3 linked regions of the Rhinolophus ferrumequinum genome follow. The main gene of each other region encodes a partner of the protein of the gene in region 2 in a complex. Links are inferred from orthologs where the notes say so. Each region holds a gene or a part of one and is shown on either strand. Other genes may lie near its edges.

The links.
Region 1: SEH1L (region 2) and NUP37 share a complex: the UniProt entries of both Homo sapiens proteins name them as parts of the nup107-160 subcomplex of the nuclear pore complex. The link is inferred for Rhinolophus ferrumequinum from reciprocal best matches to the Homo sapiens genes SEH1L and NUP37.
Region 3: the proteins of SEH1L (region 2) and WDR59 are in contact, whole or in part, in a cryo-EM structure (PDB 7UHY), measured with the Homo sapiens proteins. The link is inferred for Rhinolophus ferrumequinum from reciprocal best matches to the Homo sapiens genes SEH1L and WDR59. Residues at the interface, in NP_112493.2 of Homo sapiens: Asn308, Tyr309, Met310, Asn312, Lys314; in NP_085058.3 of Homo sapiens: Pro713, Asp714, Glu716, Thr717, Pro718, Arg721, Arg837, Glu840, Gln843, His844, Asn847.

The regions. Positions count from the first base shown.
Region 1 is NC_046293.1:17,231,311-17,239,766, forward strand, and holds the start of NUP37 (nucleoporin Nup37), read left to right. Parts: upstream 1-5,088; 5' UTR 5,089-5,405; intron 5,406-7,761; exon of another isoform or gene 7,762-7,842; intron 7,843-7,906; exon of another isoform or gene 7,907-7,987; intron 7,988-8,456. Other genes in the region: PARPBP (PCNA-interacting partner), read right to left, coding at 3,962-4,114. UniProt on the Homo sapiens protein: Component of the Nup107-160 subcomplex of the nuclear pore complex (NPC). The Nup107-160 subcomplex is required for the assembly of a functional NPC.
Region 2 is NC_046302.1:5,254,985-5,262,866, forward strand, and holds the start of SEH1L (nucleoporin SEH1), read right to left. Parts: upstream 3,367-7,882; 5' UTR 3,237-3,366; coding exon 3,126-3,236; intron 1-3,125. UniProt on the Homo sapiens protein: Component of the Nup107-160 subcomplex of the nuclear pore complex (NPC). The Nup107-160 subcomplex is required for the assembly of a functional NPC.
Region 3 is NC_046298.1:22,518,901-22,526,974, forward strand, and holds the start of WDR59 (GATOR complex protein WDR59), read right to left. Parts: upstream 3,369-8,074; 5' UTR 3,265-3,368; coding exon 3,211-3,264; intron 1-3,210. UniProt on the Homo sapiens protein: As a component of the GATOR2 complex, functions as an activator of the amino acid-sensing branch of the mTORC1 signaling pathway. The GATOR2 complex indirectly activates mTORC1 through the inhibition of the GATOR1 subcomplex.

The DNA.
Region 1 (8,456 bases), on a different chromosome or scaffold from region 2:
GAAAAGCATGACTGAATTGTCCATAAGAGAAATTACAAAAGGTCAAAAATAATAAGAAGTGCCAATATAGAGGGATAAGCCAATATAAGTGGGAATATAAGTGCCAATATAGAGGGAAATGGTGGGGCCTGCATTTCCCTGTTATTTACCAGTCCCTGGCACTCAAGAAAACCTGGTTTTTATGAAACCTGAGCACAAAATTTAGGAGACAGAGCTGAGTACAAGAAAGGCAGGAAGCTGGACCAGAGACTTTCCCTGCCCATACAAGCCAAAGCCTCTAAAGGCCAACTCTCTTATAATATGTCCACTAGAAAAAAAAATCTGCATGGCGGAAGGTGGTGGTTAAGACACCTTCCTGTAAAGGCATTTTTGAAGTATCCTCAGTATGTGCCTACTAGCTAATTTCTGCTGCGATGGGGACAGCACTCATCTACCTTGGCAGAAAATTGGAGGTTTATTCCCTGGAGAGGATAAAATACAGCCTATGGACTGAAGAGTGTGCAGCTGAGGAGAGGAATACCTGAATGAAAACCATAGGAATCACATGACCGTTTATATTCTAAATTTTGACACGCCTTTCAGGCTCCCAACACATTGCTAGCTCAACTTCATACCATTCATGCAGGAGGAAAGAAGACTCTTTTCTGAGGAATCTGTTCCCAAAGGGATTTCCTAAATACATCACATTAAAGCAACCCCTCCGCCAACCAAATGGCCGGGTCAGATCAGGATGACAAGCCCTAACCCTGGACACAGAGTGTCCAATAAGCATTTCAGTGACTCTAGTGGCCCAGGATCATCATGAAGAAAGTCTCTAATAGGAAGAAAGGAAATCCTTCCCAAATAAAACTAAGAAAAACAAAAAAACTTAGAGGAAACAGATTATGTAAGAAGAAAAAATACTCAACAAAATATTATTAATGATCTCAAAGGAGAAAATACATCCTTGAAGCAAGAACAGTATATTTTAAAAAGAGAGATAACAAAAAAAAGAGCTTTTGGATATAAAAAGGATAACAGCAGAAAATCCAACAATTATCAAACCAAAAACTATTAAATATTGAATATCTTACTGAACATTGGTTGGAAGAAAAGCAAAACAGGGTGAATGAATAAATAAACTGATAAAGCCACACAATGGAAAATTATTCACTGCTAAAAGGAAATGAGCTATGAAACCATAAAAAATTATGGAGGAACTTAAATGCATATTACTAAGTGAAGAAGCCTTAAAACCTGAAAGGCTACGTACTGCATGATTCCAACTACATGACATTCTAAAGAAGGCAAAACTATGGAGGCAATAAAAAATGGTCACCAGGGATTGGGGAGAAGGAAGGATGAATAGGTAGAACACAAAGGATTTTTAAGGCAGTGAAACTATTTTGAGCAATACTATAATAGTGGTTACATATCATTATACATTTGTCAAGACCCATAGAATGTACACCAAGAGGAATAAAGACTTAAGTCTGTTGCTTACTATCATATGGTTCACACAGAGTAATAATTACAATATGTATATACATGTGTATATTTTTATTTATATATACATCAAAAAATATAAAAAGAATGGTATTGCAAATGTGACAAAATGTTAATAATTGGTGAATCTAAATGAAGGGCATATAGGAGTTCAGTGTAGTATTAGTGTAACTGTTCTGGAAGTTTAATATTTTTTTCAAAATAAAATGTCAGAAAAGTACTACTTCCATTTTTTTCCAACAAACCTAAGTAAAATTGAGTTCTAACAATGACTGTAATTAAAAATGAGGAACAAACAAATTGGACATATAACTACGATCACTATCACCCTGTCAGCTACACCGGTCCTTGCGCATGTTCCCAAACTCTTCTCTTGGGTCTCCTGCCACAGGACCTCTGCATATGCTGCTCCTCCATCCTCATCATGACCCCCCGACTCATCTGCCTAGTTCACCCCTCTCTTTCCATTAGGGCTCCGCTTGATCTGACCGGGTCAACTCCCTGGTCTCATAGTATCGTCTACATCTTCTTCTCACAGCTATAATTTTGCATTTCTTTGGATTCTTTTCTTCTTAACGTCTGCCTCACCTACTAGGCAATAAGCTTCATGAAGGCAGGAGCCATGTCTGGTTTGCTTACCATTTTTTTAATAACTCCAACACTTATCACACTGCCTGGTGGCACATAGTAGAAGCTCAAAGAAAAAAGACAAAAGAAAAAAAAGAAAGGAGAGAGGAAAAGGAGGGAGGGAAGAAGGGAGGAAGAAAGAAATCTGTGGAAGGGAGGAAGAGAGGAAAGAAATTAATATTTCTATGAAGAGCCATAATTGGCCTCCTTGCTGTTCCTTGAACATGCCCTTGTATCTGCTGTTCCCTTTGCCTGGTCGTCCCTTTCCACCTAAATCCCCATGACTAGCTCCTTCTTCCCATCTTTCAAATCCGTGCTCAAATGGCAACTTCTAGATGAGGTCTTTGACCACCCTATTTCAAATTGCAAGAGCTCCTCCACCCCAAACTCCTTCTACTCTTTAGTTGGATCTCTGTTTTGCTTTTCTGTGTCGCACTTATTACGACATAAAATACTAAATATCTTACTTAGTAGAGTATTATCTATTTCTCCTGACTAGAGGATTAATTCCATAGGAGCAGGGATTTCCTTCAGTGCTATATTCCTAATACTTAGAAAATTGTCCAGCCAATAGTAAAAACTCAGTAACTATTTGTTGAAAGAATGACTGACTGACTAACTGACTGACTAAATAAGATAGAATTTTGTCAAAATTTTTCTATGTTCAAAATTTATCTTCATGTACATTGTTTTAAATATGCAAAACTGCCAACTATCCATGCGTAGGAAAAATTATCTCTTGTTTTAAGGTCACATAATTCCTAATTTTTAGGTGTTAAAATATTCTTCCTTTTTCAAAATGATGGTTCTAGTAATTATTTTTTCTCAATGGCCTTATTTGCAAACATGAGAAATGTTCGAACCAGTCAACGTCTAATTTTTTTTGGAAATTTTACTAATATGTGAAATCAAAAAGCCTGTACTGACATACAGGATTGAAATAATTCATCAGAATGTCATTTCACTATCTATTTCACAACAGACCCATGAATACCAATTCCACCCATCCAAAATCTTCTTCCCTAGTCAAGACGGTTCTCCTTACCATCTTCAAACCATCATGATTTTGATGCCCCTGGCTGCTTCTTCTGAGCTTTCCCCTTCCTTCATTCCTTCTTTAAACCCTTCCCATCCAAAGACTACCCTTCCTTTATACTATCCACAAGTCTTTCCTTACCACTCAGCCTACATTTATCCTTCTTTCATGGGTACACTTCTACCCCTTTAGGTAGAGCTCATTCCAAACACTAGTTTGGGCCACACCAACTACGTAAAAATCACTTCAGGGAGATTAAACAAAGACGATTTCCATGGTCAATGCAGATTAAGAGAATCAGAATTTCCAAGATTGGGATACAGGGGCCAATATATTTCAAAAGCCCTCCCAAATTATTCTGATTCATAGCCTGGCTTAGGAATAATTAATCTATAACATAGAGTCTTAAATTAGTCGTAAAATACTTCGCTTATATTAAGTAAACATTACTTATGTGTGCTTTCCAGAAACTTTCGTCTCTAGAGACGAAAGGAAGTCATAAAATAAAAATAATTTTTAACCCTAATCATATTAGTTGCATGTTTAACTTAGGACTTCAAACTAAACATCAAATGTGCATACCCCTATGTTAAATTATACATAGGAAGACCTTAATTTTGAAACAAATCATTTCAAATCCAAGAGTAACTTTTGATACATATATGCAGAAGCATTTGTGAATGTCCATTGATATTACCATAGGAGGGCATCTGTTGCAAAAAAAAAAAAAATGAATGTAATGAAGTTTATTCAAATGGGCAGCAACCAAAATTCACTCAAAAAAAAAAGTTAACCTAAATACAGTCTACTAACCTGTTTGTTGTTCTCTGCCATGGAAAGCTGCAATGTCAAGAGCATGGAGTCTGCACCACATACAGTAGTTCTCTCCGAATCACAAAGTGTGTGCCAATTCCTTCTGAAGTCTTTAATCATATCCAAGACAGACTTCTGATTAAGCACAGACATCCTCTTAAATTAGGACAGAATGCAATGTTAAAAAGCTTTATTCTAATTGGAAATTAATATTTAACATGTGTAGCAAGCAGAGTTAGAGAAAAATAAGTAATAAATGAGAGGTCATTTCATATTTACTAAGATTGCTTTTAATTAAATTTAGGAGAACAGAATAAAACAATTTCTGCCCAATCATATTTTCCTCTCCTTTCATTTCTTAAGCCAAATCTTTTGAAACAACAAAATACATCCTTCAATCTGAAAATTCTTACAAAACAGATACACCAATTCTACAAACTTATAATTATAGACACAAACATAGCTAATTAAAAATATTTGTTTTGAAATAGATGGTAATATCTGTGGTAGATTGGGGGGGTGGAAAGCCAATTTCCTCCCATCCTTATATTATCCCCAAAGAGATGGTGTATTTTTCCACCCCTTTGAATCTGGGTCGGTCTCGTGACTTGATTTGGCCAATAGCATGTGGCAAGAATGACACTGTGGGAGTTCCAAGCCTAGACCTCAAAAGGCCCATGTAGAAAGGAGTTAATGCAGCAGGCCTGAGTGCTATCCTTTCAAAGGCCTGCTTACAAGGTTGGCCCTTGGCTAGCGTCGGGGAACTTAGATTTCAGGAGGGTTTCCGGGAACAGTGGCTCACTGTGCCTACACTGTTTGTACAAACAATACAGTTTATGCTGAACACATGCTTCCCTCTCAGTCTGGAATTTTGGAACAGAGACAGAGGGTGCCTACGTGTTCAGCCCCAGCAAAAACCCTGGGCACTGAATCTCTAAAGAGCTTCCCTGACAGACAACAAATGTGTTGTCACAACTTGTTGCTAGAGGAATTAAGCAAGTCCTGCCTGACACCACTAAGAGGACTTTCGGAAGCTTCTGCCTGGTCTCCACTGGACTTCGCCCCATGCACTTTCTCCCTTTGCTTATATTGCCTCATATCTTTTTGCTGTTATAAATTATAGCCATGAGTATGACTATATGCTGAATTCTCTGAGTCCTCTTAGCAAACCAAGGCGGACTTAGCAAGACCAGGTGGTCTTGGGGGCCACCTGACCTAAAACCTTGAAGCTTTAGCTCTTCCTCTCCTGCTATTCTCAGATGTGGAGAAGTCCAAGCTAGTCTACTGGAGAGGTCATATGAAGGAGATCCAAGGCGCTCCAACTGACAACCAATATCACAGAAACGTCAGTGAGGTTATCTTAAGACTACGTAGCTCCAATCAACCTGCCTAATGAACTGCAGCCACATGAGCGATCCCAGAAAAGGCCAGCAGAACGACCTAGGTGAGTCCAGCGCAAATTGCTGATCCACAGAATCAGAAGCAAATATGTTGTTTTAATGCCACTAAGTTTTGGGGTGGTTATACAGCAATAAATAACCAACAGAATAGGTCATTTAGGAGCTTTCTTGGCGCCAAATCCTTTTTAAGAACTTAAGACTTATTACCTCATTCAATCTTCGCACGAGTCCTGTGAGGAAGGTCTATTATTCTCCTCATTTTATATCTAAAGAAAGTGATGCCCCATGTCACTCAGCTAGCAAATGGTCAAACAGACCTAAACCCAAGATACCTGCCTAACTCCATAAGCTGTGCTCTTTAATCACTATGCTACCTAACTTCTCCTGATCGATAAAAGCCTTTTTAAATAACTGGATATAGTTCCAAGGTTTTACGTACCTAAGCCTATGTAAGGCATTCAATTCCTTTCTCTGAGTTTACAGAGATGCCTAAAAGTTTGGGGTTTTCCTCCTACTTTAAGTACCCAAGTCTCCAATATATGCACAGGCCATTATCTTATTTTGGGCATTTTACCATACACATCCCATTTACTTACTCTTTCTGTGATTTTTTCTTCCTTTTTTATGTGGCATAAACAAAATCCCATATATTTACTGTGTATCTTGGGTTTATGTGATAAAAAGGAGTGGGGGCATTTAAAAAAAAAAAGGGCATATGCCATCTACAAAATAGTAATTCATAGACGTAATTACCGATGTCACATAAAAATACAGTTATAAGAATGTATATTAAAGTATCTATATAAATACAAATCCTAGTAAATAGCTAAGAATTATATTTCTCTTCAAAATATCCCCCTATGTCTCCTAAGGAAAAAAAAAAACTTCGGTGATGTGATCAATTTGTCTAAAATAAACCTTTGGTAGTAAACTATTCACTGGTATTATTTAAAGGTACTATGAGTTCAGATTGCTAAGAATGAAGACTAATCTGGAATTAGACTGTTCTAAATCCTGGCTCCACTTTCTAGTTGTAAGATCTTTACCAAGTTATGTCACTTCTCCCTGCCTCAGCTTCCTTGCACTGAAAATAAAAATATTAACAGTTCCTATCTCACAGGGTTTTGTGAAAAGCAAATGACACAAATATAAGATAAGCTTTTAGAACAGTGCCTGGCACATATAAAAGCCAAAAATCTCATCCAGGAGTCAGCACACTTTTTGGAAAGTGCCAAATAGCAAATATTTGAGGAGTCCAGGCCATAGTCTTCTGGCACAACTATCAACTTGACCTTGCCGTGTGAAAATAGCCACGGACAATACATAAACAAATGAGCTTCAACAAAACTTAATAACAACTGAAATTTGAATTTCATATAATTTCTACACTTTTTCACACAGCACAAAATATTCTTCTTCTTTAGATCTTTTTCCCCCCAACCATTTAAACATGTAAAACCTATTCTTAGCAAGGGAAATGGCGACGCAAAAACAGGCAGTGCGGAGGATTTGCCAACCCTGCTCTAGTCTCAGCTCTTCCAGTAGCTAGCTAGCTGTGTGAGTCTAGGCAATAAATAAGCTTCACACCTGACTGCCTAGGTAGAGGTATCATCAAAGAGAAAACAGGAATAATACCTTCCGGCCAGTTTCAAGGAGTCAATGAGAATGAATATGCACTCTCAGTGTCAGGCTGCACTACACAAAAGCAATAGGAGGCGGCAGCCGTCATTACTCTTGTTCTAAAAAATTGGATTAGAAGCTGTACTAGGCCAAAAATTGAAAAGCAGGAAACTACCACTGGGGAAGCAGTGAGATGATTAAAAGAAGTACACTTTTGAGTCAGACAGACGAGGGTCCACATCCAGGGTCTCCCATTTATTAGCTGTATGCCTTTCGGTATTTAAAATCTCTGAGGAGTATTTATTTTTTCATGTGCAAAAAGGGGAGGATATCTCCTACCTCATAAAATCATGAGACGTCAGTGAGACAAGTAAATAATCCACCTAGTGCCTGCACTCAGTAAGTACTCAATAAAAAAATAGCAGTCGTTGCTGCTACCGTTATCATTGTCAGAATGTGTGTCCTAAATGGCCCCTGAGAGAATATAAAAGGGAAAGGACGAATGGAGCGGACTTGGAGTCTGCCTATGTTTTGGGAGTCGGACCCTGGCTTCCTGCCTAATGAATCTAAGTAGGGCACTAAGGGCCTCAGTCTTCAGCTCCACTCGTTACTAGATACGGCAAACTGTTCAACACACCCAGACCCAGTCAGGCTAAAGAGCGCAGCCACAGCACAAATAATACCCTAAACGGTCACATGACGCTTGGCTGTCACCAGAAAACTAGCGGCCTGAATCACCACTTAACGTGTGACAGGAGAGTAAGGAAAGGCGAGACTCACCTGGCTCGGGGGAGAAGCTGGGGGTGCAAATGCAACAGAAGTAAGGCGCCGCCCAGCTGCAGTCTCTCTACGATTCGAATACTCCCGGGTTACATTTTAAATCTCGCGGGAGCGTCTGGGAGCCAATCGCCGCTCCCGCCCTCTGACCCGGAAGCCGAATCGACGTGAGCGGCGGGAACCCCGGGTGGAGACCAGCTACCATCTGGCCGCTTCCCGGTTTCCTCCGGTGCGTATCAAGGCGCCCAAGGGGTCGGGCCGCTTCGCTACCAAATGCCTCAAGCTCCCCGGGCGGTTGTCCACCCCTCTTCCCTCCGACCTCAGGCTCGGGGAGGTGGTAGCGGGGTCTCACGGGGCCTGCCGACCATTGGAGAGGCGTCGGGGCTCTTTGCAGTAACTTCTTTTATTCCCTCCCTCCTCTACCCTTCCCGTTTTAGAGGGGCAAGTGCAGCCCGCCCCGTACTGCGAGACCCTGACAATGTAGTGAGATTGGGCACTACTTTAATGAGCAGTAGGGGACCGAATATCCTAACATCGAATCTTTTGCACTTCCCACACCACTGTGCCTCTGAGGGCATCTCACCTGCTGGTCACCCTTAACAAATGATCAGTCCAGGATGCCCACTTGCAAGAGTACTAGTTTATAGGCACCCAGAGGTGGGGCTCATCTGAATCTCAGTAAATACTCATCAGGCACT
Region 2 (7,882 bases):
AAAAAGACAACCAACTGAAGGGGTGAAGATATTTGCAAACGATACCTCTGATAAGGAGCTAATATCCAAAATATATAAATAACTCATACAACTCAAAAACAAAAAAGAACAAATACTACAATAAAAAAATGGGCAGAGGACCTGAACGGACACTTTTGCCAAAAAGACATACAAACGGCCAGCAGACATATGAAAAGATGCTCAAATTCATTAGCTAAAAGGGAAATGCAAATCAAAACCACAATGAGATACCACCTCACATCTGTTAGAATGGCTACTATCAATAAAACAAGAAATAAGTATTGGAGAGGACGTGGAGAAAAGATAACCCTAGCACACAGCTGGCAGGAATGTAAATTGCTGCAACCTCGATAGAAAACAGTAAAAAATTAAGAATAGAACTACCTTACATGACCCAGCAATACCTCTTCTGGGCATCCACCCGAAAAATTTGAAAACATGTATTTGTAAAGATGTACATATCTGTAAAGATATATGTAGCCCTACGTTCACTGCAGCATTATTCACAACAACCAAGACATGGAAACAATCTAAGTGTTCTTCGATCAATGACTGGATAAAGATGATGTGGTACACATATACGATGGAATACTACTCAGCCATAAAAAATAAAATACTACCATTTCTGCTAACATGGATGGATCTTCAGTATCATGCTAAGTGAATTAAGTCAGAAAAAGACAAGAACCATAGGATTTCACTCATATGTGGGATATAAAACAGAAAGCAACAAAGAAACTCATAGACACAAACAACAGTACAGTGATTACCAGCGGGAAGGAGATGGTGGGGAGGATAAAGAGGGCCAATTACATGGTAACCGAAGGAAACTAGACTTTGGGTGGTGAGCACAACAATGCAATATACAGATCATGTATTATAGAATTGTACACCCGAAACATATGTTATTAACTGCTACCCCAATAAATTTTAAAAAAACAAAAGGTCTCAAAGAGTTATTTGTACATCCACATTCATAACAGCATTGTTCACAATAGCTAAAACGTAGAAGCAACCCAAGTCCACGGAAAGATGATGAGTAAAAAGTGGTATATACAATACATGTAAGGAACTATTTAGCTTAAAAAGGAAATTCTGACATATGCTACATGTACAAACTTCAAAGACATGCTAAGTTAAATAAACCAGTTTAAAAAAAAGACAAATGTATGATTCCACTTACATGAGGTATCTAGAATAGTCAAATTCATAGAAATAGAAAGCAGAATGGAGGGTAGGGGGAATGGGGAGTTATTGTTGAATGGATACAGTTTCATTTCGCAAAATGAAAAAGTTTTGTAGATGGTGGTGATGGTTGCAGAATGTACCTAATACCACTTAACTGTAGACTTAAAAATGGTAAAGATGGTAAATTTTGTTACATGTATTTTGCCACATAAAAAATTTTTAAAGAAAAATTGTAATAATGCCCAACATGGAAAATGATGTTATCAAATCAATACTCACACTGGCAGTGTATAGAACAACCTTCAAAAAGGCAATTTATCAATTATTCTCAAAAGCTTTTAAAATATTCACTAATTTCTCTACTGGAATGAGCCTAAGAAAATCATCCAAAATATATAAAAAGCTAAATTAATGAAGATCTTCATTGCAACAGTACTCTAACAGACAAAACGTACAAACTGAAAGATCATCTAAAAAATTCAGTAGTAAGTGGACAACAAAAAAAGTATGGACTATTCAGTTAACAGACAATACAATATCCACAACAGTCAAAAGGTAGAAGGATAAACAAAATGTGGTGCAACAAAATTATTCAACCCTAAAAATGAAATTCTGATACACTGTACAAACATAAATGAGCACTGAAAATATCACAGTAAGTGAAATAAACAAGACACAAAAGGACAAATACTGTATGATTCCATTTATGAGGTACCCTGAATAGTCAAATTTATAAAGAGAGTTGGAGGTAACCAGGGGTTTGGGGTACAAGGGAAGAGGGAGTTACTAGGTACAGAGTTTCTGTTTAGATGAAGAAAAAGTTCCTGAGATGTACAGTGGTTATGGTGGCACAACAATGTGAATGTTGTGCTTAACAGAACTGAACTGTAATGTACACTTTCAAATTGTTAGTTTACCACAATAAAAAAAAAAAACTTTAAAAAGTAGTGATTCCAAACCTTTTACAGGTTAAAAACACTGCATTATTCGATGGATTTGAGGCACTACTCTTTTTTAGAGAGGAAAATTAGTTATAACTATCTTTGAGGAATCAATGGTATCAAACTTGATGGTTAAAAACGAGAAGTAAATATAGTCTTTCAACTTTTCAGTTATTTTGGAGTTGTTGAAAATTCAAATACTCCACACTCCAGCTTTCATCTTCAAGTCTATTATCGTTTACCCTTTATCTCTTAAATTCCTAAATCCCAAATAGTATCTTCTTAGTATAATAGAAATTGTTATTTTCAGAGCAGTATACAGACGTGTAAATAAACTAAGAAACACACCCTCCAATTCCTCGAGTGAGGAACTTCATTGGGTGTAAATGAATCTGTAATTTTCTTTCATCGCGAAACAACGTAAACCTCCTATCGGAAGACAGAGAATAAATAACCTCTCCAGGTGAAGGACGAGGCACACAGAGCTTAACACTACGAACTGACTGTCCTACAAGACCCAAGGCACAGTCCTTCTCACTGAACAAGAGTGGTTAACTCATTACAGATATTGCCAGAACTCCGCGGACAAAGCAACCCCTACTGGGGACTAGGCTGAGGTAGCTCGCGGACTCCCGCCGAAAAGGACCCGATACGGCGTACGCAGGAACTCGGAGGGCTCCCAGCGTCCCCCGGCGGCGGGAGCGCGCACGTGACCAACAGGCCCGCCCAACCCGCCCGTTCTACGCACGCGCAGGGCAGCACGGCCCCGAGGCGGCTGAGACCCCACAGTGAGGGGACGAGGATGGCGAAGCAGGCCACTTGGCCGAGGTTTGCCGCCTCCCTGGGGCTCCAGGTCTTGTGCCCGGCAGCGCGCATCAATATCGGGAAAGTCCCCTTTCCACGCGCGGGTCCCTTCGCTCACGCTCCCAATCCCCTCTTTCCCGGCTCAGCCTCGCCCCAAGGTTCCGCGCGCACCTTGACGCTCTGGTCGCTGGAGCAGGTCGCCATCCGCCGCCCATGGAAATCGAAGGAGACATCATGGATGAGATCCTTATGGTCCGCTGCGATGCTGCGTGCCACAAACATGGCTTCCGCCGGGCACGCACCTCTTCCGTCTGCCCCTCCGGCGTCTGAAGAGGGCGGCCGCGGCAGAGCATGAATCGCAGTCCCCCCAGACCCCGACGCCGGGACGTGCACGTCTCGTACGGCCTGCGCGCCCCCCGGCCCGCCCCTCGTCCCGTCATGCCCCGCGAGGCCGCAAGGGCTACGCCTGATCCTCCTAAAGGAAACCTTCAGTGGACAGCCGCCAAATTCAAGCAGATGAGCTTTGCGGTGCTTTAATGAAAGTAAAAAGAACTCATTGTTAAAGTATAAAAATTAAGAAAAATGAAAAAGTTAAAATGCTATCCACAGTCCTCAATCTTGAGTCAATTTTGGTCAACGTTTCGATTAGTTTCCCCTGCTATACGGGCAGAGTGCTCAGAGTGAGTCAAAATGTTTAAAGGTTTCACATGTAGAAAAGGCTTGGAGGTAGAACAGACAGGAACCAGGATGAATGAATGCAATGAGATACTAGGAATTACAAAGTTCTCCAAGTAGCAACTTAAATCACCTAGGAGAAGGACAGGATCCGAAATGAACTGGAAGAATGTTGAGCCAGAGTTCTCAATGAAGGAATAAGTCAAACGGGCGGCGAGACGGGGAGGGGGGGGGGGGGGGGAGAACACTGTGAAGGAGACCAGTGAAGAAGTCCGCAAATCAAGGATTCTGCCAAACCCAGTAAGTGGAGGAATATTCTGCAGAGAGGTTAACAATTTAGAGGATTTTGTTTATCAGACATTCCAGAAGGCTTAGTGGTAGAGTCACTTAGAATAGGAAACAGTGGAAGATTGGGTGAGGGAATGCAAGTAAAGAAAAAATAATAATTGAAAATGAGCCTGCCAAAGGAGGTTCGTAGTATTTTAATTTTAACCAAGAATGACAAGAAAGTGGGGGCATGGTGAGATTAGCAAACTAGAAAGTTTTCAAAACAGTCCCAGCTGTCCCCTGATGGATTACATAGAAACCAGCAAAGGGAGGTGGCGAAATGACCTCGCCTTTCTGGAATTTTCTTTACTTGCCTTTTTTCCACTGAATATGAATGATAAGATTTTATTGGTACTTTAAAAGACAGACCTCAAATCTGTGAGTTGCAGGTATGATAACTAATCATTGTAATTGCTGTAAGATCAAAGACTAATTTCTAAAGAAAGTACTCACTGTCTATAAAAGTCCAATCAATTTATAAAAGCTCCAAAACTTTTTAAAATTTTTTAATTTAAATATTTTTTAAAGTTAAATTTAGAGACAGTAAACGAATCAAAGGTTACCAGAGATATCTGGGTGGGGGATTAAATAGATGAAGCAAAGGGAATTTTTAAAAATAGACTTTATGTTTTATAATAGTTTTAGATTCACAGCAAAATTGAGCAGAAAATACATGTGTTCACATATACGTACCTACCCTCTGTAGGTATGCTTCCACGAAGATGTGCTTCCACGATATGCAGATTATTTTGAGCTAAAGGCAAAAGAGACATAAGGGGCTCAAGGGACACTTCTGCCCCTCCCCTTTATTTAGAGGAATTTGAATTAGGGGTCTTGGTCATAATAAGAGATCAAAGAAAACCTATATGGCAGGGCAAACTACTGATTACTGAACATGTGCTCTCCCTGCAATTACCTTCTAAAGTCCCAAGGTGCCTTACCTCATCCTTAGCCCAGAATGTCATATACAGCTTATTTTTTCTGCTGTTTTTCAACCTCTCATGTATGTAGGGCGTTTCTGACTCTCCTGTATGAGGGGTTCCCATATATAGTATGTAAGTAATTAACTTTGGTTATTTTCTCTTGTTATAGGTCTCATGTCTATTTATTAGACGAACCGAAAGAACTGTGAGAGCAGAGGAAAGTTTCTTCCTCCTCAATTCCTACAAAATTCCTACCAACTGGCCTCTACTACTAGCAATACCTAAAAACGCACTGTTATGTTTCTTACAAATGATGAACCTACGTTGACACATAATCACCCAAAGTCCATAGTTTACCTTGGTGGTGGACATTCTATGGGTTTGGACAAATGTGTAGTGATGTGTATCCACCATTGTAGTATCATACAAAATACTTTCACTGCTTTAAAAATCCTCTGGGTTCCACCTATTCATCCCACCCTTCACCCAACCCCTGAAAACCACTGATTTTTCCACTGTCGCCATAGCTTTGCCTTTTCCAGAATGTCATATAGTTGGAATCATACAGTATGCAGCCTTTTCAGATCAGCTTTTTTCACTTACTAATATTTATTTAAGTTTCCTCCATGTCTTTCCATGGCTTGATAGCTCATTTCTCTTTAGCACTAAAAGACATTTCATTATCTGGATGGATCACAGTTTATTTATTCATTCACCTATTGAAGGACATCTTAGTTGCTTCCAACTTTTGGCAATTCTAAATAAAACTACTATAAGCATCTGTGTGCAGGTCTTCGTGTGGACATAAATTTTCAGTTCCTTTGGGATTGCTGCATCATCTGGTAAGAATAGGTTTAGTTTTGTGAGAAACCACCAAACTGTCTCCTGAAGTAGCCGTACCATTTTGCAGTCCTGCCATCAGTGAATTGCTGATGCATCCTATTGCTCCACATTTTCACCATCACTTGGTGATGGTTGTCAGTGTTCTGGATTTTAGCCATTCTAATAGGTGTGTAGTGGTATCTCGTTATTATGTTAATCTGCATTCCCTTGATGACATGATGTGGGGCACCTTTTCATACGTTTATTGCCATCTGTATGTCTTCTTTGGTGAGGTGTCTGTTCAGGTCTTTTGCCCATTTTTTAATTAGGTTGTTTTCTTGTTGTTGAATGTTAAGAATTCTTTGTATATTTTGGATAATAGTCCTTTATCATATTTGTCTTTTGGAAATATTTTCTCCAAGTTTATGACCTGTGTCCTCATTCTCTTTTTTTAAAATAATTTTTTTATTTTTCAATTACAGTTGACATACAATATATTAGTTTCAGGTGTACAACATAGTGATTAGACATTTATATAACTTAACGAAGTGATCACCCCAGTAAATCTGGTACCCATCTGATACTATACTTATTACAATATTATTGACTATATTCCCTATGCTATACTTTACATCCCCATGCCTATTTTGTAACTACCAATTTGTACTTCTTAATACCTTCCCCTTTTTCACCCATCCCCCCAACCTCCCTCCCATCTGGCAACCCTCAAAATGTTCTCTGTATCTGTGAGTTTGTTTCTGATTTCTTTGTTCATTTCTTTTCTTCTTTAGATTCCACGTATAAGAGAAATCATATTGCATTTGTCTTTCTCTGCCTGACTTATTTCACTTCGCATAATACCCTCTAGGTCCATCTATGTTGTTGCAGATAGCAAGATTTCATTCTTTTTATGGCTGAGTAATATTCCATTATATATATATGTACCACTTCTTTATCCATTCATCTATTGATGGACACTTTGCTTCCATATCTTGGCTATTGTAAATAATGCTGCGATGAACATATGGATGCATATGCATATGTCTTTTCAAATTACTGTTCTGAGTTTTTTTAGATAAGTATCCAGAAGTGAAATTACTGGGTCTTTCTTTGTATCTTGTTATAGCCTTTATTTTAAAGTGTATTTTGTCTGGTATAAGTATTGTTACCCCAGCTTTTTTTGTTTTTTGTTTTTCATTTCTGCTTTCATGAAACATCTTTTTCCATTCTTTACTTTCAGTCTATGTTTGTCTTTCAATCTGAAGTGAGTCTCTTGTAGAGTACATATGTAAGGGTCTTATTTTCTTATCCATTCAGCCATACTATATCTTTTGATTGGAGCATTTAATCCATTTACATGTAAAGTAATTGTTGATAGATATGTAGTTATTGACATTTTATTATTCATATTATTTATCTTTTTCCCCCTTCTTCTACTTAAAGAAGTCCCTGTAACATTTCTTGTAACACTGTTTAGCTTTTCTTCTCTGGGATGTCTCCTCATTTTCTTGAACATATTTTTAAAATTTTATTTATGTTTTTATTAGTTTCAAGTGTACAGAACAATATACTGATTAGACATTTACACACCCCATCAAGTCTACTTACCCATCTGACACTGTACGTAGCTATTACAATACCATTGACTATATTCCCTGTGCTGTACTTTACACCCAGTGACCATATATATATATATATATTTTTAAATTATAATTGACATTCAATATTATTTTATATTAGTTTCAGGTATACAGCACAGTCGTTAGGCATTTATATACTTTAAGAAGTGATCTCCCCTGATAAGTCTAGTACCCATGTGACACCAGGCATCATTTTCACAACATTATTGACTATATTCCCCATACTACATTTCACATACCTGTGACTATTTTGGGACTACCAATTTGTACTTCCTAACTCCTTCACCCAACCCCCAACCCCCCTCCCATCTACCAACCATCAGTTTGTTCTTTGTAGCTATGAGTTCATTTCTGTTTTGTTTGTTCTTTTATTCTGTTCTTTAGATTCCACATATATAATTGCTTCTTGGCCTTTTGGCTAAGATCAAGTGTAGATTCCACATTTAAGTGAGATCATATGGTATTTGTCTTTCTCAGTCTGACTTATTTCACTTAGCATAATATCCTCTAGGTCTATCCATGTTGTTGCAAATGGTAAGAT
Region 3 (8,074 bases), on a different chromosome or scaffold from region 2:
ATGACATGAGTCTTTCCTGAAACTCCTCCCAACTTTGGGCACCCCCCTTCCTGGTCTGATCCTAATCAATCCATTTCTTCCTATCTCTGCCTGGGCTCAGGCCTTCATCAGTCCTCACTGGACAGGTACCCCAGCCTCTCACCAGCCTCACTCTCCACCCTCAGGGCTGTTGTTAGACTTAAGCCTGGTTATGCTGCTTGCTTGTTCATGCTCCTTTAGTGGCTCCCCACAGCCTACAGGACAAGGTCCAACACCCTTGGCGTGCCACTGAAGATCACTTAAGACCTCTTCTCTGATCACTTCTACAGGCTGTCTCGCATCTCTCCCTCCCAAGTCCACCCCAACACTCCAACCATGACCAATTCTTGTTTTTTTCCATTTAAGTAGAGTTGGTATACAATCATATATTGTATATTAGTTTTAGGAGCACAATATAGTGATTCGGCATTTTTATATCTTACAATATGATCACCCCACTAATTCTAGTAATCATCTGTAACCCTGTAAACTCACTGTATTTTTCACTATATTCCTCTCCCCCATTTTACCTCTCTTTGAGTATAAACTATTGAATCTCCACTACACTTTCCAATACCATTGCCACTAGCCACAGGTAGCTATTTAAATGGCAATTAATTAAAATTTGATTAAATTAAAAATACAATGTGTTGTACTGACCCCATTTCATGTGTTTAACAGCCACATTTCCATCATCACAGAAAATTCTACTCGATGGAGTTGCCCTAGAAGATTATCTCTAAGTTTTCTTACAGTGTCAATACTCATTGATTCCAGGGACCACATACCGTGTTTCCTCAAAAATAAGACCTAACCAGACAATCAGCTCTAATGTTTCTGTTGGAACAAAACTTAATATAAGACCGGGTCTAAAAGACGCATTAGAGCTGATTATCCGGCTAGGTCTTATTTTCAGGGAAACACAGTAAGAGTAGATCCAAGCAGCACAGGTTCTTCACTATTAATCAGTGACAATATCTCAAGGCATTGATTTATAAAATAAATGATGCTTGTATAAGGTGTAAAAGAAAAAGAGTTTCACCTTTTAGGCTGGGATTTTTCCACTGAAAAACCCAAAAGCTTTTATTTTTTAAAGAGGCAGGGTGTTTTTAAAAGTTTATTGTTCTGGCCTTCCTCTTCAGAAAGACAATAGTAAGAGTTTCAACTCTTCATTTCTACATTAATGAAATAGTTAACAAAAAGGGTCCCTAATCCCCCACCAATTACCATCAGAATTAACCACGAAACCATGATAATTGACACGAATGTACCTTTCCAAATGAGCAGAAAAATCAGAAAGAAAAACAGAAACTCCCACAAGGCAGTTAAATTACCCAATTTACTTTGTCCTCTGACTTTGACAGCTGCTGTTTCGGTTTATTATCCTACTACTTCATAGCTTCCTAACCTATGTGTCAGCACCCTCTCTGCAGGTCTCTTCAATGACGTTTCTATAGGGAGGTCTGGTTTCTCTGTAAGAGGCTACCTGTATTTCTATGAGAATTAAAGGGTTTACAGATTAGTAGCTTCCAAATTAGCAGGTTCCATACAAGATTTTGTTCTTAGTCCCCAGTGAAAGTAATTAACAAGAAGGGTAACAGGAATGTGGTTCTTTATCCCTAGGAGTCTGGCGAGGCCTCCCCTGGGAGCGCAGGCCTCCCAGAGACACAGTGCTGACAGTACAAAGTGCTTCAGGATTCTTTAATCCAAATGCTGCCGCTCAAATTCTCCAGGGAACTATGTATCAGAGAGCACCATAGAGCAAACTGGTTGGTGGCTCCTCCACTCATTATCTTTATGACCATGGGATTTTAGAAAGAAGAAACCACATCACCCCTTGTTGTAATCCCAATTTCCCTTCAGTATAAATCATCTGAGTTTCAACACAGCGCCTGGCACAGTCTGCACCTGGCAAGAGCTCAATAAATCCTTGTTGAATAAATGAGTGACTGAAAGCCTGGCACACAGAAGGTATTCCATAAATACTGGGGTGCCAAAAAAATGTATACACAAGACCCGTATTCATCTTTTGTTATCAGTATAATATTGAGTATTACAAATTTAACACAGTTTTTTCCTTTCTTAAAATGTGTACACATTTTTTTGGCACCCTCTGTATTTGTAGCATAAAAAGCGAATCACCAAGACACTGTCCTAAGGTGGTGGGGGTACATGGTATTTGTTGAGGAATGACTGTATGACAAGCTCATAAAATATGAAGCAAGGCAGTGTAATGAGGCCAACAAGAGCCCTGGGGCCAGATGCCTTAGTTCAAATCCCAATGCAGCCACATAAGGGGACGTTGGCCAGGTCACTTGGGATCAGCCAAACAGAGATCAGCTTCTCCGTTTGGAAACAAAGGGATAATATCTATTTATCTTGTGTGGTTCTTTCATGAATTAGAAAAAGAAAATACAGAGAAATCACTTAGCACGAGGCCTGCCATATGGGACACAGGAAATTTAAAAATGGTAAAAATCACTAGTAAGTGCTAACGTTCCTTGAGGCTTACCATGTGCCTGTCACTGTACCACACATGCTAAATGTGTGAATGATCTCATAGTAAAATTCTCAAGCCAACCCTTTGAGGTGAGCAAACTAATGCGCAGAGAGTGAGGACAGGCTTGGGGCTGAGCCGGGATTCGAACCCGGCAATACGGTATTTTCCACTATTCTAGCAGCAGCGACAACTTAAAAGCTTAGGCGCCGAAACAGGCACTATACCTGCAGTTTTGTTTTTTTTAATTGAATCCACCCCCAAAGTCCTGTGAAGAAGCGTTAAGTCCACAGAGCTGTGAGGCTCAGAGAAGTTCTGCGATTTGCCCAAAGTCACTAAGCGCGACCCTCAGCCTGGGGAAGCAAACACCCCCTTGCCCACCATCCGAGTTTGGAAGCTTCCCAGCACTCACTCGCACGCAATCTCTGCACTTCGGAGTCCCAAAGCAGACACCATCCCCGTACCCCCCGCGGGGAACCCCGAAACCCTGTCGGCGCCCGCCCCAACCGCCCCCAATAGTCATCAAAGCTCCCCCTCGCCCGCTCAGGTCTAACAGTTCCGGGTCACTCTCTTGTCCACGAGCCCAGCCCAGGCTTGGGGGTCGCCCCGCCGCCCCTGAAGCGGACCCGGCAGCGTGGGGGAAGGGAACCGGGAAGGGCGCATGCCCAGAAGGCTCCATTTGGCGGCCAGCTCACCTGAGAGTCGCGAAACTCCACCACCACGTTCTCGCTGCTCCATCGCGTAGCCATCTCCTGCAGTCGGGAGCCCAGGTCCCAGAACCGCGCGTTCCCGCCACCGAAACCCGCGTACCAGGGCTCTGTAAGCCCCACGCAGCCTGCGACTGAGCCCTGCCACGCCCCGTTCCCTTCTTCCGCCTGAGCGCAAATCATTGGCTGACCCAAACACTGGCTCCACCCCCTCTTCCAGACTCCTCCAATTGAGGAACCGCCCCTACCCAAAACAGGCTCGCCCCCTCCACTTCCGTCACTCGGCTTGAGTCACACAAGCTTCGTCCCGGCTGCGGACACACACCCCCTTGCTGCAAGCTGGGCCGGGAGTTGTAGTCCAAGGTCGAGTAGCGGGTGGATAACACAGGAAAAGCTCGCAGATTGCGGTTTGGTCGAGATGCAGTGCGTGTTGTCTTCCCTGTCTCCTCGCTGGCGTCACCGGCAAGACCGAGGATGTCTACAAACCAAAATCCAACATTTGTGCAAACCTGCCATAAAGGCATTGAAAAGTCTGAATGGGAAATTTATTGTTTCGTACAGTACAGCAGCACCTGCCAAAGTGTCCAGGGACCCCAGCGAGTCTCCACAACCTTTTCATGGGGTTTCTGAAGGCAAAACAATTTTGATAATCATACTAAGACGTTATTTGCCTTTTTCACTTTCTTTCTCTCATCAGTGTACAGTGAAGTTTTCAAGAATCTACGTGGTATATATTGTATGTAGCAGATTGAATGGTAGAAGCAGATGTGAGAATTCAGCAGGGTTTTTTTTTGGTTTTTTGGGGTTCTTTTAATTAAAGTTAATTGGGGTGACAATTGTTAGTAAAGTTACATAGATTTCAGGTGTACAATTCTGTAATACATCATCTATAAATTCCATTGTGTGTTCACCACCCAGAGTCAGTTCTCCTTCCATCACCATATATTTGAAGCAGTTTTCTATTAAGCCAGACATTAAAGAGATTTGCCACTTATCCCACTGTTTTTTAAAATAAATTATTTTTCATTTACAAAATGTATTATCAATGCTAATGTGCATTAATGTACAAGTAAAATCATGAATAAATACGTTTTAAATTTTCATTTTTTAATCTATTAATTACTATCAGTATATATAGCCCACATAAAAGTTGGGGAGGGGGAATCTTTAAAAAGTTTCAAGAGTGTAAAGGGATCCTGAGATCAAAACGTTTGAGAACTGCTGATTGCACAATAAATGGTGATTAGCTACTCTTCTTTTGTCCCACCCTCTCAAATCCTGGCTTAACTGGCTTAGCTTCTATTTCTTTATAGAAGGGGAAAATGACCTGCTTGATTCACTCGGTTGTTACAAGGAGTTAAGCACAGAGCCTGGAATGTAGTCAATACTCAAGTGTAAACTATTTTTATTGTTGTTGTTGTTAATACAACTATTATTTCTATGTGCAAGGCATTGCCTGAATAGAGATAAGAAGCCTTCCCTTCCCTCCTGGGGTGTTGGATGTAATGGGGAAGACAGACTTATCAATAGGGTGAACAACGTATCCCAGCAAACCCTTCAGTCCAGATAAACTGAGACAGTTGGTCCCTGTACAACAGGTATACACTTGGCAGAATGAATTGGGTTTTACAAAAAACTTGCAAGCAATGTGCCAGGAGAGGACATCCTAAACGTCCTCTCTTTATGTCATCCTAAATCCTGACATAGCATCTTGAAGCAGGTGACTTTTAAGCTTTTCGGTATAATTAGGATTTCAATAGCGTACACTGTCAAAAATAGTACTTCAGCATTGAAGTGTGAACAAAGACCCTTAAGTGTGAAGAGAAGGATGCACTGCAAAGACACAAAGCAGTTCCTCAATTAACACTCAGGGCACTGTGCTTTTTTTCAAAGTACACTTCACGATTTGTAATTCGATATTTATTTTTTTATTTAACATTTCAAGCTTCAGGAGGACAGGAACCAGGTCTGTTTTGTTTTCAGCCCTGCATGGTGACTGCATATACAGGCACTCCATGAATATTTGTCCAATGAATGAATGCGAAAAGCATATAAAGTCATACCCTTAGGCTGCTATATAGGTCAAGGGATGCCTTCTGTGAAACCAAATGTAATTTTTAAAACTATTCAAAATCTTTACCTGCAATTCTTTACCCCCAGAAGGGAACACAGAATCACTAGTCTCCTTCAAGTCCCTTTTCTTTCTTTCCTATCAACCTATCAGTTATTCTCACACACTGCAGCCCTTAAAAAACTCCAGCCATGGCCTTCACCCTTCTATATTATTAGCCTTTCTTCCTTGTCTCCCAGTTTTCTCCTAATTCTCTACCACAAAAGACTGCTCTAGAGAGAAGGGCCTCACCTCAGCTCAGCCAGCCCAGAGGGGGAAAGATTCAAGGGCAGGGAAAAAGAAACAGAATACTTTCTAAGTGTCCTCATGCCATCGCATAGGAATACGTTGTTTACATAAGAAATGTCCAGACCTGTAAAGAACTTCTATAAGATTTTATTTGAGCCAAAGTGGCGACAATTGCCAGGAAGCAAGATCTCAAATGCTATGGAGAATGATGGTTTGGCAGTTTATTTTTAAGCTCTTGGAAATAAGGAGGGAAAGTAAGGAAGATTACATGAAGGTGGGAGAAAGCAAGGCACTGATCGGATTTCAGGATAGTTTACAAGATTATGTGCTCTCTTGAGGGTGGTTATCCTTATTTCACAAGTGTGTTAAACTAGATGCACAGAAACAATGGACAGGGCTTGCTTAAGGCAAAGACAAACCTTTTACTAAAAAAAAGTATATGCCTGGGGCGTGACTACCCACCATGACCTGCCCAGTTCATCCTGTGAGGTTACTTTCCCTAGAACCCCTTTTTTGTCTCTAATAAAAATTAATCAATTCTGCCGGCCCGGTGCCTCAGGCGGTTAGAGCTCCATGTTCCTAACTCCAAAAGCTGCTGGTTAGATTCCCACATGGGCCAGTGGGCTCTCAACCACAAGGTTGCCAGTTCAATTCCTCGAGTCCTGCAAGGGATGGTGGGCTGCGCCCCCTGCAACTAGTAACGGCAACTAGACCTGGAGCTGAGCTGCGCCCTCCACAACTAAGACTGAAAGGACAACAACTTGACTTGGAAAAAAAGTCCTGGAAGTACACACTGTTCCCCAATAAAGTCCTGTTCCCCTTAAAAAAAAAAAATTAATAAATTCATCTAACATACCATAATCTTATTTGTTTATTTGCCTATTGCCTGGGATGTAGTGGGTGTGCAATAAATATCCACTGAACAAGTGATTAGCAATTTAGCAAATAGTCAGGGCATATGGGAAGTTGTAGCAAGAAGTATAGCTAGAAAAGTTAGAAAGGGCTAGGGGTGGGGGAGAAGAGAGAGACAGAGAGAGAGAGAGAGAGAGAGAGAGAGAGAGAGAGAGAGAGAGAGAGAGAGAGAGAGAGAGAGAGAGAGAGAGAGAGAGAGAGAGAGAGATTCCAAAGCTGTCTGTCTGTAAATAGTTTGGTAATCTGTTTCCCACTAAAACCTGTAGAATTGCTCTTGCCTGAGTATTTCTGCAACCCTCCCCCACTCCTACCTCTTTAGTTCATGTCTGTCTAGTTCTGAAAATCTGCTTGTCATGATTCGTAGGCACAGAAAGTACTTTGGGTTTCAAGTCCTTGGTGCTCTGTGTTCTCTCAATGTTTTCTTTCTTAAATGTGAAAAGAGCCCAGTAGAATTTTTGAGAGAGGGAGGATGAACACCTTTCAGACTGCCTTCTTGGGCCCTTTCTTTCCATCTCCCACCCACATTGAAAAAGTAGGGATTCAAGCTAAATCTCGAGATCTCTGGCTGCTGCTTCATTGCTATGTACCTCTGAGATCCACCTATGAATATCCTGTCTGAATCAGAAACTGGGGACTGTTAGGAGTCCCTTGTCAAGTAGAACTCAACTGGCTGACCAGGCCTCAAGGCCCTTATCACCAAGCAATGTATTTTCAGAAGCAGGATCTCTGGCCAACCTAGAAATCCAGGGCTTTGGCTGGCTCTTATCAGCAACTACTACGGTAGACTCGCAAGTTTGAACAGAATCCCTTTTCATTCCAGTCCTGTTTCCTTTTCTAGAGAATGTGAAGTTTAGCTGACCCTTCCATCTGTTTACATCTGAAAATCTTGGAATCCTGTCTGGAGCCCCACTAGTAATTTCCCTCTTTTCATCAGTCAACAAATATTTGTGGACATGCCCACGTGCTCAAGCTCCTTGCTAGGTGCATTTGGTTGCCCATTACTCTGATTTCTCTCTTTAAGTTTCCTCTTTTCAAGCAAAACAATAAAAATGTAAAGAGTTCTGAGTGGTCTGGGAGGAAGTCTCTTACTGGGAGTCACTTGTCTACCCCCAGAGGAGGTGCTGGGGGCTCCCTCCAAAGCTGTAGGGAGCCTTCCCCACTCTCAGGCTCTTGGAGACAGAGAGGATGCCATAGGTTCCCCAAAAGCTTCCCAGGAGCAGCCCTAACAATCCATTGCTCCCATTTTCTGACTTATATTCTTCTGGAGATGTTTAAAATTGGGCTTTGCAACAGTTATGCACTCGTGTTTGCAAGTTTGGGCAACACGGATTTTATCAGCTCTTTCTCCTGACTGTTCTGGTAGGTGGGTCAGTGCTTTATTAACCCTGTTTCACAGCTGAAGGAGAGACAGGAAGCAGTTCACTCAGGGTGGGTGACAGCATGAAGATATGGAGATAGAAAAATAAATAAAACAAGAGTCCCAAATCTAGTTGGGGCCATTTCTCCATCTGATAGCCTTGCATTGAGATAGTTCAAAATGACTTGACACCTCCCCAGACCCATTAACTTTAAACCAAGAAC